2 linked regions of the Pelodiscus sinensis genome follow. The protein of the gene in region 2 binds, or shares a complex with, the protein of the main gene of each other region. Links are inferred from orthologs where the notes say so. Each region holds a gene or a part of one and is shown on either strand. Other genes may lie near its edges.

Region 1 (7,092 bases), on a different chromosome or scaffold from region 2:
AATCTAAGACTTGTTTTCTGACTTCTCTTCAGACATTAATTGATTGACCCTCACACCCAGCCCTATAAGGCAAGTAGACAAGTGTTCCCCCACTTTCCAAATGGGAAAAGGAAACAGAAAGTGCCAAGGCCTCAGAACGAGTTAGTGTCAGAGAAGCGTTCTGATCGCTCCAACAACTATTCTGCACAGGAATTGGCATATCAGATCACAGCAAGAGTCAACATAGCGTCATCTCCTCCTTATCTGCACAGGAAGGCGTGAGCCATTCCAAAACGGACAACTTACTTTTTAACCCAAGCAGTTTGTGTTTAGCGTATGCCCCTTCCTCCAGGCAGCAAGATACAAAGCACAAGTGGACACAAACTATTGTAATTAAAAAAAATTGGGTCTCTAAGCTCTTGCGTGTCAGTAGGAGGCAGCTTTTGTTAGACTCTGAAAATGAGCCAAGAACAATTAGCAGCATCCTTCAGAGAAGCGTCTGCGCAACAGGATTTAAGCAGGTCTGTTGAGGGGGGCAAACCCTTTGGAGCAGTAACTATGTGTTTTCAGTCATTAGTACAGCCCCAAATCATGGATATTACAGGCTAGATCCAGCACTTGGTAAAGTCAGTGGTACTGATCCCGGGGGGTGCAGGATAAGGTCTTATAAATTGAGATCAAATGTATTCTACGGGCCACTCATTTGGTTAAAGAAAGTCAGGAGAGGAGTCTCGTCTGGGCGATCGGGGACACTTACCTTTTTTACGCCTCCGAGGGTAAGGTCTCGGGAACGGATGGAGGGGAGGCGCCCAGGCGTAATTGGGGTGGCAGGTCTCCTCCCTATCAGCCCTCGTGCCCCAGGGAGTCCAGGCCGGAGGCTGCCTGGGTTGCCAGCATCGTTGCCTGAACTCCCCTCCGACATCCTTTCCAGTTACCTGGGCAGGAGAGAGATCAGTGGGAATGTGGCTGAAACGTCCAGCAGCCCAAAGAGCTGATCCCTAGAAACCCATTTCCTGAGCAGCTTTCATGATTCCTTCACTCTCCAGACACCGCGCAGTCAGGAGGAGGAACTGGTTGCAATTGAGAGGAAAGGGAATAAGGATAACTGCTAGGACAATGCATTAACAAGCACAAGAGACAAAGGGGACCCAAGATACCCAGGGGATGACTAATTGAAGGGCCCGGGTGGGGAGGGGCAGGGAAGGTGTATTGATCACAGGACAGCCTGAGCTCTGTAGGTGATCTGCCTTTTGCTGACTTGGGGACCAGCTCCCCCCACAGGGGATCAGAAATAAGGGCCCACACACCCAGGCCTCACTGTATCAGGGCTCAGAGCCACCTCCCACCTGGAACCTTTGCTGTACTGGGACGGAGACCCCCCCACCCTGTCACATAGGCTTGGACACCTTTCCTTCTCCCCACAGGCAGGGGCCCAGTGACCTTCCAGAGCCCATGCTAAAAGGGAACACGCCTTCCCCGCAGCAGAAGGAGCTGCCCCTGTCTTCAGACCCCCCACTATAGGAGTTCAACACCCACCAGCAAAGGGCTCAGACCCATCCCTTTCAAGGCTTACCCCATCTCTACGCACCGTCCCATAGGGAGCTCTGACCCCACCCATCGTCAGGCTCAAACCCCCCTCCCAGCCTCCAAACCCACTCCCATAGGAAGCTCAATCCCTCCTCCAGGTGAACACCCCCCATGGGCTCAGTGCCCCCCAGTCCAGATCCCCCCAGGGCTCAGCCTCCCAGCTCAGGCTGTCCTTTTTCTGTAGGTGATCTGCCTTTTGCTGGCTTGGGGATCAGCTCCCCCCCAGGGCTCAGCCCCCCCTCTCCAGTCCAGACCCCACCAGGACTCAGCCCCTCTCCCCGGGCTCAGCCCCCCCAGTCCAGATCCCCCCACAGGGCTCATCCTCCCCCCATCCAGACACCCTCCCCCCCGGGGCTCAGACCCCCCCACATCCCCCAGTCCAGTTTCCCTCCCCCCCGGGCTCAGCCCCCCCCCCCCAGTCCAGACTCCCTCCCCCCCCGGGCTCAGCCCCCCCCCCAGTCCAGACTCCCCCCCCCCCGGGCTCAGCCCCCCCCCCAGTCCAGACTCCCCCCCCCCCCGGGCTCAGCCCCCCCCCAGTCCAGACTCCCCCCCCCGGGGCTCAGTCCCCCCCCCCGGGCTCAGCCCCTCCCCCCCAGTCCAGACTCCCTCCCCCCCCGGGCTCAGCCCCGCCACCCAGTCCAGACTCCCTCCCCCCCCGGGCTCAGCCCCCCCCCCAGTCCAGACTCCCCCCCCCCCCGGGCTCAGCCCCCCCCCCCAGTCCAGACTCCCTCCCCCCCCGGGCTCAGCCCCGCCACCCAGTCCAGACTCCCCCCCCCCCCCCCGGGCTCAGCCCCTCCCCCCAGTCCAGACTCCCCCCCCCCCCGGGCTCAGCCCCTCCCCCCCAGTCCAGACTCCCCCCCCCCCCCCGGGCTCAGCCCCTCCCCCCCAGTCCAGACTCCCCCCCCCCCCGGGCTCAGCCCCTCCCCCCCAGTCCAGACTCCCCCCCCCCGGGCTCAGCCCCCCCCCGGTCCAGACTCCCCCCCGGTCCAGACTCCCCCCCCCCGGGCTCAGCCCCCCCCCAGTCCAGACTCCCTCCCCCCCCCGGGCTCAGCCCCGCCACCCAGTCCAGACTCCCCCCCCCCCGGGCTCAGCCCCTCCCCCCCAGTCCAGACTCCCTCCCCCCCCGGGCTCAGACCCCCCCACATCCCCCAGTCCAGACTCCCTCCCCCCCGGGCTCAGCCCCCCCCCCAGTCCAGACTCCCTCCCCCCCCGGGCTCAGCCCCTCCCCCCCAGTCCAGACTCCCTCCCCCCCCCCCCGGGCTCAGCCCCGCCACCCAGTCCAGACTCCCCCCCCCCCCCCGGGCTCAGCCCTCCCCCCAGTCCAGACTCCCCCCCCCCCGGGCTCAGCCCCCCCTCCAGTCCAGATTCCCGCCCCCCCCCCCGTCTCCTACCCCGGCCTCGCCCAGCAGCAGCCAGGAGGACGCTTGGTCCCAGCCTGGACCTTTCAACTCCAGCGCGCACGCGTACGCCGGCCCGCCGCCATTTTTGTGCGGGGCAGCGAAAACCGGAAGGACTCCGGCCGCGCCGCCATCTTTGTGCAGGGCGCACTCGCGCCAGGGGGGGGAAAACCGAGCGGGCCGCCATCTTGGTGAGGGGCGACCTCTGGCCTGGAGGAAGGGGCCGCCATCTTGGTGAGGGGCGCTCCCCCTCCCCCACTCCCTGGGGACAAGGGAGCTGCTAGTGGGCAGGGAGGGAAACTGAGGCAGGGTGCTAAAGGCAATGAGTGGGCCCATCCAGCAGAGGACCCAGGAGTCCAGACTCTTCTGTCCTGCATAAGTGGTGCTGCTGGCCCCACCGTCCCCCTGCCAGCCCCCCGGAGCACCCTAGGCCATGAGGATGCCCCAGGGCGGGGGAAGCTGCTAGATGCTGACCCTGTGTTGCGAGTTGGGTTTTAAGCAGAGTCCGGCCAGGGCCTGGATTGCAGAGCCTTTCTTTCCCTTTGGGGGCTTCGTCAGCTGGGAGCAAACTCTCACGTTGACCTGCGAGCCCCGGATGCCCCTCTTCTCATTCTTTGCAAGGGTGTTGCCAACTCTTGTGGTTTTTATTGCCAGGCATGAGCAACGCTCCCCCTTGTTTGCCACCCACGTGCAGGATAAATGTTGTTACGTGCACCCAAGCATGTATGGATGTGCACCACCAGTAGACACGCACCCTGCCAGCTGTGGGAGTAACCACACTAGGGCTGCATCTAGACTGGCATGATTTTGCGCAAATACTTTTAACGGAAAAGTTTTTCCATTAAAAGTATTTGCGCAAGAGAGCATCTATACTGGCATGTGCCTTTGCGCAAAAGATTTGCTTTTGAGCAAAAGCATCCATGCCAGCGTAGAAGCTCTCTTGTGCAAGAAAGCTCCGATGGCCATTTTAGCCATTGGGCTTTCTTGCGCAAGAAATTAACTTGGCTGTCTACACTAGCCCTCTTGCACAAAAACAGTTGCGCAAGAGGGCTTATCCCTGAGCGGGAGCGTCGGAGTATTTGCGCAAGAACCACTGATTTTGTACAGTACAAAGTCAGTGTTCTTGCGCAAATACTCGCGGCCGGTGTAGGCAGGTGGCAAGATTTTGCGCAAAAGCAGGTGCTTTTGCGCAAAATCTTGCCAGTCTAGACACAGCTTCGGTGTGTGGTTATTCTCCGCTTCAGAGATCCTAGGTTCAAATCCGCCTTGTGGCGGTTACATGGGCTATCTGCTAATCAGCTGGGCAGCATTTGAATCTTTCCTAGGTGGCTGCACAGCTTAAAGGGAAGATTGGTCTTGAGCTATTTATTGTTTTTCTTACACACCCCAGCTTCTGGAGGATACTAGTTACATAAGATTTCAATAATTGATTTTAAGTTTAAAGAAAAAATACCTTTCAAGCTCTCATTTTGGAGAAAAGCTTGACAACGTAACCTGAATGCAACCCAAAAACTCAGAAACCAAAACATCTTAAAAAAAAAATCTCCTGATTTTCTCCAGGGACTGGCTCGTGATTTTCAAATGCTTGGGGTTGCAAATACTTGCAATTTTACACCCATACAGCTCTATGCTCAGACACAATTTTGCAAACCCACACGCTTCACAGATTACCTGGTTTCCAGGAGGCAGCCAAGCAGCTATCTGTTGAAGTCTGGTACATCGAATTATTTGACCCCATAAAACTGGGCCTGTAATTATTTGCTGGAGAAAAGCCCAAAGTTGCTTTTCAAAATCAAGCCCCAGCTTTGTAATTATCCTTGACGCCTCTCTGTGGCTGCTGCCTGCTAGGAAACAGCCTCAGGTATCACCTCACTAGTGCTAAGTGAAAATAGAAAAATCTCTAGTGTTTCGGGGCTTTAATTTAACACCTCTGCAGGAGAGGAGGGAGGGAGGCAATGCAAGAGGGCTCTCCAGGCCTAAGGGAAAATCCCACTAGCTGAAATTGTTGCTATAGTATTCATTTTCACACATAAAGAGAAAGGTGTTTTTTAAACCAGCCTCTCAGAAAAGCAGAGCTCCTTCATTACATCTGTTGTGCCATAAAACTGCAGTAATGGAGCATGTTAACACTTGAGGCGAAGAGCGGAAAGTTGAAGATGGATGCTGATTTTTCCTGCAGTTTCCACACCATCCCTGCTAGGGTTGCCAGACGGTTTCAACAAAAATACCGGACACTCTTGACATTACATCACAGTCTACATTGCATCTTATTTAGAAAACACCGGGCAGTTCTATTTTCTCATTTCTATTTTCTCAATTTGTTTCCCAAACAGAAAGCTCAAATACTGGGCTGTCCGGTTCAAAACCAGACACCTGGCAACCCAAGTCTCTGCAGCCACAGTGAACCCCTGAACATGCCCTTAACAGGAGGGAAGGGAGAACTCATTTGGCCCAAATTGGAGCCCCTGTTCTAGCTTTAGAAAAGGATTTCTGAGGCTCTGCTTATTAGCTGTGGCCAAACACAAATTGGGGACTGTTGTATGATTTCCTTTGTTAAATCTTGTTTTGTAAGAGGCCTAGAAGCCCGTCGAGAATTATTTTCAAATAAGAATCTGTATTATCTGCGTAGCACAAGCTTATAATTAGAAATAGATGCCTGGAGTTACACTTTGATTTCACGGTTCCTTGTGTAAATCTGGAGTAACTCCACTGAAACAAATAGAGAGATCCTGTGTTGACACCGGTGTAAAGGAGAACAGCGTAGCTCATCCTTTTCAGTAAGAGTTTTCTTGGAAAATCAAGGTATGATAAGACCTGCTCAATGGAGCTTTATGCTGATTTGCATCAGCTGAAAATCTGCCCACGGGTGCCTAGTTAGAGAAGGGACGTTTTGCAAAACTCTCAAAAGTTTCACAGAGCCACACCTACAAAAAAGCTTCCCAGAGCAGTGTTTCCCAAATGCATTTTCCATGGAACCCTTTTCAGCTTAAAAGAATTTCAAGGAACCCCTAGGGTTGCCAGGGTAAAATTTGTCAAGCAAAAAAAAAGACCCACCAGAATTGGTCGAGAAAAAAAAAACTGCAAAATAGACTCCGTCTCTTTAAGAAGGGGCGGGGGAGTGCCTCTTTTTTGCGGAACCCTTACTTTCCCTTCATGGAACCCCAGGGTTCCACGGAGCACCGATTGGGACACACTGTCCTAGAGGTTTGATGGGCTCTCATACCCCTCTAATTAGCCTTCATTTCCATTATGCCCTGTTGGTGGGGGACAGAACACAGAGAGGAAATGTCAGGTTTACAGAACCATCACATTTGCTCCACAGGTGAATTCTCCCCTGTGCTGCAGGCCAGTCCAAGGTCCGTGAACCACTTTGGGTCTCCTTGGTATGAATGAATGAAACTAAAAGGGCAGCAGGTTTAAAATAAAATTAAAGGAAGTTCTTCTTCACACAGTGCATAGTCAATCTGTGGAACTCCTTGCCTGAGGAGGCGGTGAAGGCTAGGACTATCACAGGGTTTAAAAGAGAACTAGATACGTTCATGGAGGTTAAGTCCATTCATGGCTATTAGCCAGTATGGGTAAGGAATGGTGTCCCTGGCTTCTGTTTGTCAGAGGGTGGAGATGGATGGCAGGAGAGAGATCGCTTGATCATTTCCTGTTTGGTTCACTCCCTCTGGGGTATCTGCCATTGGCCACTGTGGGCAGACAGGATACTGGGCTGGATGGACCTTTGGTCTGACCCAGTCTGGCCGTTCTTATGTTCTTATGTAATGAATGGGTCACTTTCACCCATCCAGAAGCGTGATAGAAATGTAGCCGTGTTAGTCTGGTGTAGCTGAAACAAAACACAGGACTATGTAGCACTTTAAAGACTAACAAGATGGTTTATTAGGTGAGGAGCTTCCGTGGGCCAGACCCACTTCCTCAGATCAAATAGTGGAAGAAATTGTCACAACTAAATATACCAAAGGGATACAATTAAAAAAATGAACACATATGAAAAGGACAAATCAAATTTCAGAACAGAAGGGGGATGGGGGATCCTACCCATTACACGGATAGCTTCCCCAATTATCACCTCTAATATCATTAGCTCACAGACATTTACCTCCCCCCCCCCCATCCCATC
Region 2 (7,157 bases):
CTCCCACAGCGTTTCAAAATGGCAGCGCCACATGGAGCACAGGGTTAGCCTGATAACCAGTGTTTACACTCTGGAATCTGTATAGCACTTGTCATTTGGTTAAATGTTTTTATGCCCACTGTACAGGTGGGGAAGCTGAGGCATAGCAAGGGGGTCTCTCTAGGTCATACAGTGAGCCAGTGGTAGAGCAGAGAATGGACTCCCAGGTCTCTCTACCATGCTGTCTCTACACATGTCTACTGAGAGAAAAAGAGAGTAAAACACACAGCAAAATAAATCATAGTCAAATGGTCTGAGCACAGGCCTGGGAGCTAATTCTGTTCCCAGCTTTGACAGTGATTCATTGTTTGAGCTTTGGCAGTGCCTGCTTCGCCTCGTGCCTCAGTTTCCACATGCTATAGCATGTGGATCACAATACTGATCTCTCCTGAAAATGCTTGGAAGCATCAGTGTTGTGTACTGCCTCTTGAAGATGCTCCATCCGGACCTGACCTAAAGCCCCCTGAAGTCAATGGAAAGATTCCCATTTACTTCAGTGGACTTTAGACCAGGCCCTCCATCCAGCTGGAAGCCATCCAATCCCCTTTCGTTGTGTACAGAACTTGAACACTGTGGTAGCATGAAGCATCAGCTCAGCAGCCTCAAAACTTGCCAGATAGATAAGGCACTGCAGCAAAAGATTTCCGCTCCCTTTTCAAGCTGTCTCCACACCCCACTGGCTCACCCTCCATAGTTTCCGTCAGCCTGTCTGCAACCTTCTGCACCACAGCGCTCATGGTCATTTTGCCGTTCAGCAGCAGCTCCTCCACAATCAATTCACCCATGTCGCTGTAGAGGGTCTTGGCAGTATAGATGTAACGTGGATACCGCAGGATCCTCAGCACCCGACTGCACAGAGCTTCGTACTCCACAATGCCTCGCTTCTGCAGCTGGTAGGTCACCAGGTTATGTTGAATGAGGACACAGAGAGCTTTCTTAACCTGCACATGCCAGAGAAAGGAATGAGAGCCGTACTTGGGGGAAAATCAACCCTCATGCTTGAGGTCTGATCACCTCAAGGATCAGGAAGGGAATGCCCTCCCCTCCTATATTTAGGTGCTTTAGCTCCATCCATAGTCTCAGGAAGGGCCATTAATTTCCCAATTAGCACTGATCATTAACAATGAAAGATAAAGCTACTGAGCATTCACCAGATCATCTTTATTTGGAAGAGAGCAGGGTGATGTTTGACATTCCTCAGGGGCTAACAGAATTAAGAGAAGAAGAAACCTGGGAGATCTTGTCCTAATCAAGGCAGGGCCTGGGAATCTCAACTGTAGTCCTGACTCACAGTGCAACTTTAAGCAAGTAAGCTTCACTTCCTTATTCTTTACAAGCTGCACTAACTTCATCTCTTGTCCTCTCCACACTCTGTTACACTAAATTAGACCACCAGCCTTCCCTTCTGGGGAGAGGTAAGAGCTCAGAACCAATCTGTTAAAGCCAATGACAAAACTCCCATGGATTGCAATTGGTACTGTTAAAGAAACAGATTTGGTTTTAAGGAGACATGTTCAAATTCTAATTTGCCTTTTGCAAACGCATTTGGAATAACAGAATCCTTCAGGAGGCCTAGAAATGGTGACAGACAAGTTTTAATGAGCAAATAATAGTTCAGTCAGCTCTGCTGAGTAGCATTTATCTAGCATCTGTGATCCAAGGGAGGATAACTCCTAGCGGATTCTAGACATACCTGATCTAGCAACATCCCTGTGTCCTTGGCAATCACTCTCAGTGGCTGGCTGCCTGTTTTGATAAGGTGAGTCCCTATCTTTTCCACGATCTCGCCAAAATGTTCTTGCAGCAGGAGGGAACAGAGTTTAATTTCTGCTTGAGTCATCTTGCCGTCAAATTAAAATACTAGAAGGATATGGGGGAAAAACATTTATTAAAATTCTTATCAGGTGAGACAGGAGAGTGCAGGAAATGTGCTGGTGGGACGCAAAGATTTTCACCTCTCAAGTCGCCTGTTTGATTTGGTCTATCAGCAGAGACCAAAAGTTGTTCCCAATTCAGGCTTGAGAGGAATGCAGTGGGTTCGAGGCTCAGCTCAAATAAAAAATGCCTTCACAGCCAGTCCGCTTTAAGTCAAACCGGGCAGGCACGCAAGCACCCCCAGCAAGCACCGAATGAGCCACGGTGACGAAACACAGACTATCCCCCGAGATGATCCCGGCAGGGCAGAGTGGGGGAAACGTGTCACACGCTTCCCTAGGGCTGCGCCAGTTCCGCAGGGAATCGGGCTCGCCAGTGGGGTGGCCGGGTGTTGAACTGGACAGTCCAGGATTTGAGCCTTCTGTGGGGGAACCCAATGGAGACAATAGAACGGAGACAAGGGACGGGTCCGGTCTTTGCTACACGAGAGGCCGCGGGCATTGTGACGTCATGGACATTGTGACGTCACGTCCAGGGTTTCTGTGGAAACCACCTGGCAACCCTGCTGGGCCGTTGGGCGTTGATTTTAAAATGGGGCCTGCCCCGTGGGCAGCACTAGGGGAGCTAACGAACCCCTGGGGGGAGGGTAGCACGGGGGGGGGAAGGAGAAAGCGGCGGGGGGGGGGGGTCTAGCGAAGCCAAGGACCGGCGGGCGGGCGCCGAGAGCTCAGCAAACAGCCCTTCGCGGCTCAGCGGTGCGGCCCCATGGCCAGGACAGGGCGCCCCCTCGGCGGCGGGATGCTCGAGCTCCGCTGCCCGACCTTGGACGGTGACAGGGATGAGCCGGCATGGGGCTGGGGGGCAGGCCGCTCCGGCTGCCTTCATGGAGCGGCCTCCACAGTTCCTTGCCCCCCCCGGCCAGGCAGAGCCCCCTCCCCCGTTGCCTCAGGGCTCCCACTCACCTGGGATCTCAAATTGGGGAGGGGAGACGCCTAGGCCCCTGCGGCAACCATAGCAACCCCTTCCACTTCCGGCTCAACGCGGGTTACTTCCGGTCGCCTGCCATGGCTGCGATCCGCCCTGGAGGCCGTCAGGGCTACAGCGCCGCTCTACCCGCCCCCCGCCAGGCTCGTTGGTTGCGCATGCGCATCGGCGGAGTTTACGGCGCGACGCTCTATCCTCCCCCTTCCGCCTGGTCTCGCTGGGACTTGGGACACGGAAGAAGCGAGGGGCGCCGCTCTACCCTGCAGTTCTCTCCTTGCTCTGGCGTGGCGGAGGCCTGACTGCTTCCTACCCCGGCCCAGCGGAGCACCAGCGAGTAGGCGGAAGCGGGCGGCTAGAGCGGCCCCCGCCGCTCTATCCGTGCGGGCCCTAGTCGCGGCCCGCGGAGGACTGACGGCAGGCAGGGAGCCGGGGGAGGGGGAGAGAGAAGATGGCGGAGGCCTCGGCAGCGGCCGCCGTGTCCCAGCATCGCTTCTTCTGCCACAGCTGCAAGGGGGAGGTCAGCCCCAAGCTGCCGGTAAGGGGCGGGGCGCGGACCCCTCGTCCCCCGCGGGGGGGGCCCTGCACCCCCCATGGAGGGGGGCCAACCCCGATCCCCCCCCCAGGGGCGCAGGCCGGGGGAGCGTTCAGCCCCTGTCCTCGGGGCAGCGGGGCCAGGCGGGAGAGGCGCCGCCCCCGCCCCTCGCATGAGAAGGGGGGGCTGAAACCCTGTCACCGTGCAGGGGGAGGGGGCTGCACCCCCCCCCCCCATCTGCCCTTCACTAGGGAAGCAGGAAGTGCGAGGCCAGTCCCCAGTGTCCCGGGGGGGGTCAACTCCTCCCCCCCCCAGGTAATCCCTGGCCTGAGGCTTCTTTCCCCCCTCTCTGTCCTGCCCTGGGGGGCACTGGAAGGGGAGGGGGGCACTGGAAGGGGAGGTCTTCAGCCCCCAGTTGTCCTCCAAAGAGGTGACAATGCAAAGGGCTCCCTGCCCCGCTTCAGGCCGAGAGGTGAAACCTCAAGCTTCCCTGGCCACTAAGGTGTGGGGTAGGGATGTTAGATTTTGGTTAATTGACTAGTCGATTGACCTCATGAATTGTTATCGGTTACTCGACTATTCTATGGCCCCGGGGAGTGGGGCCGGCAGCCAGTGCGCTCTGGCCCAACTCCCAAGGAGTCCCCTGCCACGCCGCGCTGCTACCTCTGTATCAGAGGTAGCCATGTGGACTGCCAGGCGGGAGCTGGTCCGCAAGGGGAGCTGGTTTAAAAACCAGCTTCCCTTGTAGCCCCAAACCTTTGATACAGAGGCAGCAGCGTGGGGTGACAGCAGACCCTGTCCAGCAGGTGGGGGAGAGGGGGATCTGAGCTCCTGGACCCAGTGCGAGCTGGAACTGAGCCAGGCTGCTGGCCCCGGCTGCTAAAAAATGTACCTGGGAGGCTGGGGGGGGGAGAAATGCGTGTAGTCTATAGCATTAGTCGATAAGGTTTTGCTTATTGGTTAATCGACTACGCTATTACATCCCCAGCTGGGAGGGCGTATATCCTAATCCTCCCTATGGAGAGAAGGGGAAGAGACACTTGTAGGCACATCAGGCACTTACCCCAGAAAGCAGAAGGCACCTCTCTCCTGATGCTCTAAGAGCCCCTTTGGGAACGTAGGGATGGTTAAACCCTTCTGAGAGTGGAGATAAACCATAGCTCACCCTTCACAGTGGCTCCAGGCCTGCTAGATAGCAAGGGCACCCATTCTCTCTAATGTTGCAGGAAAGCCTCAGGGGAGAGGCTCAGTGGCATAGAATTGTAGAACTGGAAGGGGCCTCAAGAGGTCATCTAGCTCGGTCTACAACATCAAGGGAGGACTCCCAATTCCTACAGTGAGAAGAGCAAATTTCAGTTCCGCAGACCAAGGATAAGTAGAGGCTGAAGCACCGGAGCTCCTCCTCATGCCGTTGGAGAAGAGTTTTCCTTTTGAGTACCCTCTCTGGACATGTGTATCCTAGTAAAATAGTCCTGTATCTCGTTAGAGTTGGTGGTATGTGTGGTGTATTAGATGGACTGTCACAAGCAACCCCGGCACTTATGCAATAGGATGAAGGAGGTGGGTGGACCAATCCAATCTGTGGTCTCCATTTAGATCCAAAATGGTTAGTCAGAGGTTGTCCTTATGTTCCTGATGTTCTAGTTACATCACACACCACAGCTTGGCGACTTCCTGGCTGTGGAGATGTCCTGGCGAAGCAGGAGGCTATTTGAGGAAAGGAACAGATAATGTAGCTTGGCCAGATTAGATCAGACACATAATATCTTTTTTCCTGATATATGGGAACGTGTGGAGATTCTCTGTTGAAAGGGTGCCTCAGTTTCCCCACCTGTAAAATTAGACTATCTACCTACCTCCTGAGAGAGCAGGTGTAGGAAGATTGTAAGGCTTTTAATATTTGTGATGCACTTTAAGATTCTTGGATGAAAGAACTTAATGAAGAGCAAGCTGCTGTAGCAAAACCTCATCAATCTGGATCCTGAAACAGATGCTGTCCTCCAATTCCTGGGTATTTCATAGATGATGGACAGCTTTTAGTTATCCAGACTGATTCAGGGTCATACTGACATTTAGGTAAATGAGATGGTGCTGTACTATTGCTTTTCCCTTCTGCACCATGAAAGGAGGTAAGAGGATGCTTTGGAGATTTTTGTTTTACTTTAAAAATCATTCATACATGACAGGAATGATGAGCCAGAAAATTTCATTAGCTTCCATTACAGGTAGCTCACCCCTCTGCAACTGCATATAGTCCTGTTGAGATTGGTGCTTGTCCATCCGAAATGCAAATTGATCCTTTAGCTCTCTGTTTGCAAACTCACCCTGCATCCCCTCAAGGTAGTAGCCCAGCTTTCTGGTATTTTCTCTTCTCTTTCTCCCTCCCAAATCATGTTCGACTCCCTCTTTATGCCTCTCGCCTCTGTTGCTGACTTAAGCAGTTTTCTCTCCTATGTTACAACTGTCCTTTTGTTATAAAGCAATGCTGCCCTAAATTGCTCACAACTAATTCTCTTCCGTAACTGGGATTCAGGATTTCCTGATGCCATTAGTGAGTTTTTTGGAACAAGAACTCCGGGCCCATGTATGAGATACATTGTTCAAATATTCACAGTATAAACATGTGAGCATTGACTGCCTCTTTTCTTTTGCCCTGTTGTATATTTCTATAAGCATTCCTACCCAGGCCTCTTTATTTCTAAGTCAGAGTCTTCAGTTTTGCTCTGCATGGGCATTAGACATCCTGGACTCTTTATAAGATTAATGGTTTGACTTGGCTTTTATTGTTATAATTAGGAGCACCCAGAACCCTAACTGGGATCAGGGCAGCATTGTGCTAGTCCTCTCCCACTCTGTAGTTGGGAACTGTGTTGTTCTCTTGAACAACTGCTGTCTTCACCCCGCGGGAGATGGTGTGTCACAGCATTCAGGTATTCTGGAGGATGATATGGACTCTAAAAATGTGAGCTATTATTACCCAGACTTTATAAATAATATGTTCAGGATTTATACCTGCCAAACCAATGAATTGTTTCACTTTTTCAACCTCTCCAGTATTGGGGTGACAACCTCTTTATCTTCTGCTGTTCCTGTCGCACACAACCTGATGGGAACCTGCTTGAATTAAGGATCACCCCTCTTTCAGTCAGCTCCTCAAGTTCTGGGGGGAGCAAGAGATATCCCATCATGCTCCAGACAACCAGTAATGTCATGACAAGGCAGGTCAGGGCCTATTTCTGAAGTAAGACTCTCTTATGCTCTTTTGAAAGCCTGTCATTGTGAATCAGCCTGTGTAAACTTTCCTTAAGGAGCGTGAAACTGGGAGGATAACTCTTTAGTTCTAAAGTTGACTTGGGCTCTGACTCGCTTTGTAGCATTGGCCATGTCACTTCCTTGCTTTGTGCCTCAAGTTTCCCCATCTGTAAAATGTGGCAAGCATTGGTTTCATGGGGCAATGGGCTGATGTTTGCAAAGGGCTACATTAGGATTTTATTTCAGATCTCTGAATTGTCCAGTAGAAGTCCACGGACCTGTTTATTTCTAGGGTGAGGTAGCTCAGACAGTGACTTGGACCTGGTCTACACTCAAAACGGGTCAACGTAGCTGCTTCACTCAGGGCTGTAAAAAGTTTCCTGCCCTGAGCACTGTGGTTAGGTTGACCTGAACCCTGGTGTAGTTGCAGCTGGGTCGACAGAAGGATTCTCCTGTCAACTTAGCTGCTGCCATT

What was found.
Region 1: POLR3C (region 2) and POLR3D share a complex: the UniProt entries of both Homo sapiens proteins name them as parts of the RNA polymerase III complex. The link is inferred for Pelodiscus sinensis from reciprocal best matches to the Homo sapiens genes POLR3C and POLR3D.

Annotation. Positions count from the first base shown.
Region 1 is NC_134738.1:11,408,503-11,415,594, forward strand, and holds the start of POLR3D (DNA-directed RNA polymerase III subunit RPC4), read right to left. Parts: upstream 3,094-7,092; 5' UTR 2,958-3,093; intron 915-2,957; 5' UTR 902-914; coding exon 737-901; intron 1-736. UniProt on the Homo sapiens protein: DNA-dependent RNA polymerase catalyzes the transcription of DNA into RNA using the four ribonucleoside triphosphates as substrates.
Region 2 is NC_134734.1:19,515,845-19,523,001, forward strand, and holds the start of POLR3C (DNA-directed RNA polymerase III subunit RPC3), read right to left. Parts: upstream 3,059-7,157; 5' UTR 2,877-3,058; intron 2,525-2,876; exon of another isoform or gene 1,995-2,524; intron 1,900-1,994; 5' UTR 1,880-1,899; coding exon 1,733-1,879; intron 981-1,732; coding exon 725-980; intron 1-724. Other genes in the region: E3 ubiquitin-protein ligase RNF115, read left to right, coding at 3,347-3,433. UniProt on the Homo sapiens protein: DNA-dependent RNA polymerase catalyzes the transcription of DNA into RNA using the four ribonucleoside triphosphates as substrates.